Linked DNA regions of Alligator mississippiensis. The protein of the gene in region 2 interacts with the protein of the main gene of each other region in a pairwise test. Links are inferred from orthologs where the notes say so. Each region holds a gene or a part of one and is shown on either strand. Other genes may lie near its edges.

Evidence for each region.
Region 1: the proteins of BPTF (region 2) and MAZ interact in a two-hybrid assay, tested with the Homo sapiens proteins (2 studies listed by BioGRID). The link is inferred for Alligator mississippiensis from reciprocal best matches to the Homo sapiens genes BPTF and MAZ.

Annotation. Positions count from the first base shown.
Region 1 is NC_081830.1:247,729-251,626, reverse strand, and holds the start of MAZ (myc-associated zinc finger protein), read right to left. Parts: upstream 2,458-3,898; 5' UTR 1,159-2,457; coding exon 1,123-1,158; intron 913-1,122; coding exon 826-912; intron 404-825; coding exon 1-403. UniProt on the Homo sapiens protein: Transcriptional regulator, potentially with dual roles in transcription initiation and termination.
Region 2 is NC_081831.1:6,198,258-6,202,155, reverse strand, and holds the start of BPTF (nucleosome-remodeling factor subunit BPTF), read right to left. Parts: upstream 2,617-3,898; 5' UTR 2,404-2,616; coding exon 1,797-2,403; intron 1-1,796. UniProt on the Homo sapiens protein: Regulatory subunit of the ATP-dependent NURF-1 and NURF-5 ISWI chromatin remodeling complexes, which form ordered nucleosome arrays on chromatin and facilitate access to DNA during DNA-templated processes such as DNA replication, transcription, and repair.

The DNA.
Region 1 (3,898 bases), on a different chromosome or scaffold from region 2:
ACTCCTTGGCGCAGAGCGAGCAGATGTAGGGGCCCTTGCTCTTCGACTTCTTCTGCGCCTCGGCGGATGGGGCCGGGGCGGGGGCTGGCACGGGCGGCGCCTGGGCGATGGCCGCCGCGGATGCGGCTGAGGGGGGGGCCTGGCTGGGGGCGGTGGCAGGCGGGGCGGGCGGCTCCGGGGCGGGTGGGGCTGGGGGCGGGGCCTTGAGGGCGGCGGTGTCGACGGTGGAGGCGGCGGTGGGGGCCGGGGCGGGGGTCTGGGCTGCGGCGGCGGCAGCGGCGGCAGCTACGGCAGCAGCGGCGGCGGCTGACTCCTGGGCGGCCGCCAGCACCGGCAGCAGGTCAACCTGCAGCCCCTCAGGTGGCCCCGAGGGTGGGGGCGGGGGTGGCGCTGCGGCCGCCGCCTGTGGGGGAGGGGACACGGTCAGGCCCCGCCCCTTGCTGGAGGCCCCGCCCCCTGTGTTCTGGGGGGTCACCCCATGACAGAGGGGGGCATCTCATCTCAGGGACCCCCTTGGCACGCGGCTGCTCCCGCCACGCGGGCTGGCGGCCTTGGGGCACGTGGGGCCGCGCGGGCGGGGGCAATGTGCAGCCTGGCTTGGGCCTGGCCGGCAGGGGCTCCCCGCTTCCAGGGGCTCGAGGGCCCAGCCCGCAGGGGCGGCCCGGCGGCGGCAGGGCGCCAGGCGGGGGCGGGGGCGGCCCCTGTCGGCCGCGCACAAGAGCTGCCAGACCCTGCGGGCCCGGGAGGGAGGCCAGGGCGGCCCCGAGCCGGCGGGGGGCAGGAGGCCCCGGGGCCGGGCCGGGCCGGGCCGGGCGCAGGACGTACCTGGAAGGGGCTCTGCGCGCAGCCGGGCGCGGCGAAGAAGCGGGACTGCAGGTCGGCGCCCACGGGCAGCGGGTTCTGCGCGTGGCTCTGCGGGCGGCACGGGAGACACGACACGACACGACACGCGGGGCGTTAACCCTGGTCCCTACCGAGGGCGCGGGGGGCGGTGACGCGGCGGTGACGCGGGGGGCGGGGCGGCGCGGCGCGCGGCCGGGGGGGGCGCGGGGCTCCCGGCGGGGGGGGCGGGGCGGCCCCCCCGGGGCGCGGCGGGCGGGGGGGGCCGGGCCGCGCCGTTACCTGGAAGATGAAGCTGCTCCAGTTGCCGGGGTCCATGTCGGTGGGGGGGGGGCCCGGCCGGGCCCGCGGGCGGCGGGCGGGGCGGGGAGCGCGCGGCGCGGGCGGGGGGAGGCGGAGGGAGCGCGCGGAGCGGGCGGGCGGGAGCAGGCGGGTGGCGGCGCGAGGGCGGTCGCGGCGCCGGCGCTGATTGGCTGGCACGGCACCGCGCCCGGGGGGAGAGAGGCCGCCGGGTGGTGCGGCGCCCTCATTGGCCGGCACCTCCCCCCCACGTGGGCCGCGCACTCATTGGCCGCCGGCCCCGCCCGCTCCTAACGGTCGCGGCCCCCCCACCCTCCCTCACAAAATGGCCGCCGAGGCGCTCCGGCCCACTGCCGCCCCGGCCGCCAGGGCTGGGCGCTACCACCCGCCCGGCCCCACCCGCGGGACTTGGTACAGGCCGGGCCCGCCTTGCAGGGGCGGTGGCTGTGCGCGGCAAGGGCGGCGCTGCGATGCGCCGAGCCACGAAAATGGCGCCGGGCCTCCTTCCCCCCCCCTCCCGCGCCCAGGGGCGGGCCCGCGCCTGCGCACTAGTCGGGCCGCCGCAACGCATGGTGGGAAGAGCGGCGAGACGCCGGCTGTGGAGAGGAGTCGCATAGGAACGTTCTCGCCCTGGCGCGGGCCCACCTGCTCCCTGCGGGCTCCCGCGGGCCCCTCAGCCCGACCGCCCGCGCCCGACCGCCCGCAGGCGTCCGGCTGCCAGGGTCGCTCCTCGTCGTCCCTGGCCGCGCTACGCTCAACCCCAGCGGCCGCAGCCTAGCTCTCGCCCAGCCGCCCGCGCTGCCTCGCGCCTCTTTGTATTTGGCGCGTGGCCCGCCCGCCGGCCAATCAGGGGCGCCGGCCAGGGGGCGCGTGCGCGGCGGGGGACCCCGCCAGGACCCGAGAGTCGACTGCGCATGCGTGTTGGCAGGGTCTGAAAGGGGAGCAGGAAACGTTATCTGGATGCAGCGCCTGCGTGCTAGCGCGCAATTCTCGCCCCTCCCTCCTTTCCCCCAAAGGAGGGGGTGGGGGGGGGTGTGCTTACTTCCATTCCGCATGCGCTGTGAGCTTACGCGCCCGTTATCGAGCCTTGGCTACGGTCACTTTCTGCGCATGCGCTCCGGCCTGCCTCCGCAAGCTTCCCGGCGCACTGAGAGGCGCATGCGCAGTGTAGAAAGCGGGCCTCCTATGGACCTGGCTGTGTGCGCATGAGCGCTGCGCCCTGGGGATCCCGCCTGTTGCTATGGCGACGCGCCTCGGGCCTGTCCCCTGAAGGGGGAGCCTCACTGAGTATTCACGGAGGGCGGGATAATGAGATGCAGATGTATTCCTCGCGCGGGGCGGGGGGGGGGGAGGTCGTGAATGTGTCAAGCGCCTCGCTGGGGGTGTCGTTTGAATATATGGAAATGAGGCCCCGCGAGGTCACAAGGCACTAACTCCTTTCCGGGCGAGCCCCGGTCGCCTCATGCAAATGTATGCAGATGAGGGGCCCGCCCGGACCCCCGATGAGCCAGGTACCGCGGTGCAGACGTGCGGAGGCGGCTGCCCCGGGAGATGCAGGACTCCGCCGGCGGCCCGGCCCGTGCCCAGGCCCGGCGCTAGGGGCGGAGGCTGGGCCTGGCGGGTAATGAGATGCAAATGTATTCATCGCCCGGGCGGGCCGACACCACCTCGGCGGGACGCGGGCCCGGGGGTGCTGCAGCATGGTAATGAGATGCAAATGTATGCCAGGCAGCCCGGGGGTCGCCCAATGAGGCGCAGGCTGCAGCCCAGTATTCAAATGAGAGGCGGAGAGGGCGGGGGGGCGGCTGGCGGCCAATCGCAGCCCGGCAGGGCCCACCAGCCTGAGGTCCGCGCTCATGAATATTCATGTGGTGTCCGCGCAGCCAGGGGGCGGGGGCAGTTTGGGGCCGGGGGTCGCGGGGTCAGGGGTCAGGGCTGGTGTGTGTGGGGGTGGGGCGCTGGAGGGGCTGGTGCGGGGGTGCGGCTCGGCCGGGATGCCCGGGGCTGGGTGGCGATCCCGGGCTGGGCTGGGGCAGCGCGGGGAGGGTGAGCTCCACCCGGCCGAGGGCACTGCGAGTCTCGGAGGGGCTGGGCGCCGGGGCGGGCTCGGACCAGCAGTGAGGGCCGGGCCGGGCCGGGCGGCGGCCTGAGGGTGACGCGCTGCCCCGCAGATGCTGCTGCTGCTGCTGGCGGGGGGGGCGCTGTTCCCGGGCCTCTTCGTGCTGCTGCGCTGGGGCCTGGCGCGCGCCCCGCCGCTGCGCCTGCCCCCGCTGCACGCCACCTACCTCGCCGCCAAGTAAGCGCACGCCAGGCCCGGGGCGCGGGGCGGGGGGCGGGGGGCGGCCAGGGCTCCTCAGCCCGGCCGGGCATTTCGGCAGCCCGGGCACCTGGGTCCGCGGCGGGACGGGGGTAGGACCCTGGGCAGCCACGGGGCGGCGCCCCCCGAGGTGACTCCAGGGTGACTCGGGCTGGGGGGGCACCGTGTGGCGGGGATTAGCCGTGAGCGGATTCCCACGCTGCCCTGGGGCGGCGGGGGGGCACCCCTGACCTTGACCTCCCCGGGGCATTGTGGGACACCCCAGATACCCCCTGCCCCAGTGGTGCTGCTCGCTCCCGCCCCCCACCGCCACCCCGAGCGGTGCCCCGCACTCCCGACCCGCAGCCCCCCCGCGACGCCCTTGCCCCGCCCCCTGCGTGACGCCGCAGCCCCGCCCATGCCCGCGGCCCGCTCGCTCGGTGGCGCCGGGTGCGAGCGGCC
Region 2 (3,898 bases):
AACCTACAAGGTGGAGATGGCTCACATGCCACACCAAAATTATTTTCAGGATTTGGATAAAACCAATCTGCCATCTCGAAGCAGTACTGCTTGTGACACAGGTAGGTATCTGTTTAGCAGGAACTGGACACACTTGTAGCTAACCAAGCTGAAAATTTGTAGTGTCATTTGCAAAAGACATTTTCTTCACTTGCCTCTTTTCTGAAGGTAACGATTTTTTTTTTAATTTTTTTTTTTTTAAAGAAAAAAGAAAGAAACAACTGTTAAAGTAACTTAACAAAAAGCCTTCCAGCATGCAGCTGAACTAATAGCAGACAAGTTACAAGACAGACAGAAGTTCTTGCCACTGCTTGGCCACTCTGTTATAAAGGGCTGCTCAGGCTGTAAAAATTTCAGATTACTAAAGGTTAACATGGTAACTGAAATTTTAACATGATTAAATAAAAACATATTTATAGGAGTTTTTATCAAACATACTAATTTAACATAGGCACTTAAATGCCACCAACGTAACTTGAATAAATACTTGTCCTTTGTCAAAACACCTAACCCACCTAACTCAAGCACTTCTCCCCATCCCAATCCCTAAACTTCATATTTTCTTAGGTCCATGCGGTTTTTTCCCCTAACCCTAGCCAGTGAAGTCAGGGCAAAAATACTTCCCTAGACCAAAGAGAAGAGATTGGTTTCTCCCTATTACCTACCATAACTAAAGAAAAGAGCAGCTTACAGCGGTAGTGGCATCTAACTTGACGCCAGTTCCTCTTTAAAGCAAGAACTACGGGAAGGAAATCAAACTGATCACAGTACTATTCCTGCAACAGGTGAACTACAATGCTTCCTGCAACAGACTATAAACCCTTTGTGATCACATTTTTTACCCAATTCACAATAAAAAAAAAACACACCAAAAAGCAAAACCATAATTCGTACAAAACTACACAGAATTAAAAATAAAAATTGATTGGTGGTGTTTTTTTTTTTTATAAGTTTAGTGAAGCCACGTGATGGCATCTGTTGCCTGCACCCACTAAACCCACCAGGAATTAAAACAAACAGTGCGTTTTAGTAACCTGTGCCTCCTTCCCCAAACGCTCCACAAAGCGTATACGGTGTCATACATTCACAGAAGCGGCCAATCTCCCCACTACACCTCGCTGGCAAATTGGTCGAATGCTACCGTACCCGTTTCTGCTGCCCGTGTCCCAACCGGCTCACTAAAACGCACAGCTGGATCGGCGCTGAACCCAAGTGCTGCGAGCTAGAGCTGCGAACCGAAACCCCCTCAACTGACAAAACCCAATCGAGCGAGAGTTCAAGTTTCAAGCACGCGAGGGTCTTATCGAGGTCCGCAGCAGGGGTAAAAAAACAAAACAAAACCCTCATGTTTTAAATGAAAGCAGTAGCAACTCCAAGCACCCAAAAAAAGCTCTGAGGGTTATAAAAAAAAAAAAACCCTAATTTTTTTAATGAAAGCATTGTCATGTCCAAGTAGTGGAAGAGGCTCCCACAAACACGCCGCGCTTTTACAAGCCTGGTCCCGGCTTTGCGGCGGCCTCACCTGGGGAAGTTAGGGGGCGAGTTTCGCGCAGGGGCCCCCTCCCCAAAGTGCGGCGAGGCAACCTCCATCTTGGACAATACTTGGGCAGGGGATGGAGGGGAGCGAAGGGGCCGGAGCCGGGAGAGGATGCTCCGCCCGCACCTGTGCCCTGCCTCCAGCCCCCGCGATTTGCATGTCTCCCCCCCCCCGGCGGGCGGCGAGGAGCGGGACCCTCCCTCGTCCCCGTCCCCGCTACCTGGGGTGCTGCTGTAGGTGCTGTGGCTCCTGAAGCTGCTCTCGGTGCAGTAGCTGGCATCGTCCTCGTCCTCCATCTCCTCAGGGTAGTCGGAGTCGTCGTCGTCCTCGTCCTCGTCCTCCTCCATGATCTCCTCCTCGTCGCCGTCGTCCTCGGACCCCGGGTGCTCCTCGGGGTCGCCCTCCTCCTCGTCCTCCTCGGACCCCGCGCTCTCCTCCTCCTCCTCCTCGCTCTCGTGGTCATCGTACACCACTTTGCTGGCGCTCCTGCGGGACGAGGCAGCCCGGCCTCCTCCGCCGCCGCCTCCTCCTCCTCCTCCCGCCGCCGCCTGCGCCGCCGCCCTGCCCCTGCCCCGGCTCGGGGGGCCGCCGCCGCCTGCGCCGCCGCCCGCCTTCCTCTTGCTGCCCCCGCGGGGGCACGGAGAGGCCTGGGCCGCCCCCCTCGGCCTGGGCGCCGCCGCCGCCGCCTCCGCCTGGGCCGCGGCCGCCCACCGGCCCCGGCTGCTGCCGCGCTGCCGCGAGCGCAGCCCGCCGATGGGGCCGGCCGGAGCCGGGGAGCTCGCCTGAGCCTGCTGCTGCTTGGGCGGCCTGCCGCGCCGGCCCCGCATCGCTGGGCGCTGGCCGAGGGGGGAAGGGAAGGCGAGGCAAGGGCGGGGCGGGGCGGCGGGCGCCCCGGCGGGCGGGCGCGGGGCAGTGGCCCCCACCCCCGCGAGGGCTGCGGGCCGGGGAGAGCGGCGGCCGCCGGGCGGCGCGGGCCGCACGGGCTCAATCCGAATCGCCGGCGCCCCGCTCCGGATCGCCGCCGGCCGCCATCTTGTTCCTTCGTCTCTGCCTCGGCTCGCTCCGCTCTGACTGGGCGGCAGCAGGCCCCGAGCGCCCCACGTGACCGCCGCCGCCCGCCCGCCCCGCCCCGCGCCGCCAGGGGGCGCCGCCGCCGCGCGGGCCCGGACACAGCGCCGCCCCCCGCGCTCACCTGGGCCCTGGGGCAGCGGGGAAGGGGCGGCTGCCCCGCGCGCGCGGGGGGGCGAGGGGGTCTCTGCTGCTGCTGCGAGCGGCGCCGGGTCATTGAAGGGCGACATCCAGCTGCAGCATCCGGCAGACCTGGGCCACTCTCTCCTTCTGGACACTTTATTAAAGTGCAACATCCAGCTGCAGCATCAGACCGGGCCACTCTCCCCTTCTGGGCACGCTGCACACCTCCCCATTGCAGGGCACTGTCCAGCTACAGCAGCAGACCTAGGCCGCTCTCCCCTTTTGAACAGGTTGAACAGCACTTCCTTCAAGTGCAACATCCAGCTGTAGCGTCACACAGACCTAGGCCACGCTCCTTCTGGACGGGCGAGCACCACTTTATTAAAATGCAACATCCAGCTGCAGCATCAGACCTAGGCCACGCTCCTTTTGGAAAGGTTGAACAGCACTTTATCCAGCTGTAGCATCACACAGACCTAGGCCACGCTCCCTTTGGACAGGCTGAGCAGCACTTTATTAAAATGCAACATCCAGCTGTTGCATCAGACCCAGGTCACTCCATTTATTAAACTCCAACATCCAGCTGCAGCATCAGACTGGGCCACTCTCCTGGACAGGCTGAACACCTCCCCATTACAGTGCAGTGTCCAGCTGCAGCATCAGACCTAGGTCACTCTCCTCTTTTGAACAGGTTGAACAGCAATTCATTAAAGTGCAACATCCAGCTGTAGCATCAGACAGACCTAGGCCACTTTCCCTCTGGACAGGCTGAGCACCGCTTTATTAAAATGCAACATCCAGCTGTAGCATCAGACAGACCTAGGCCACTTTCCCTCTGGATAGGCTGAGCACTGCTTTATTAAAATGCAACATCCAGCTGTAGCATCAGACAGACCTAGGCCACTTTCCCTCTGGACAGGCTGAGCACCGCTTTATTAAAATGCAACATCCAGCTGTAGCATCAGACCCAGGTCACTCAATTTATTAAACTCCAACATCCAGCTGCAGCATCAGACCTAGGCCACTCTCCTTTTGGACAGGTTGAACAGCATTTTAAGTGCAACATCCAGTGGCAGTGTCAGACCTAGATCACTCTCCTTTTGGACAGGCTGAGCAGCACTTTATTAAAAT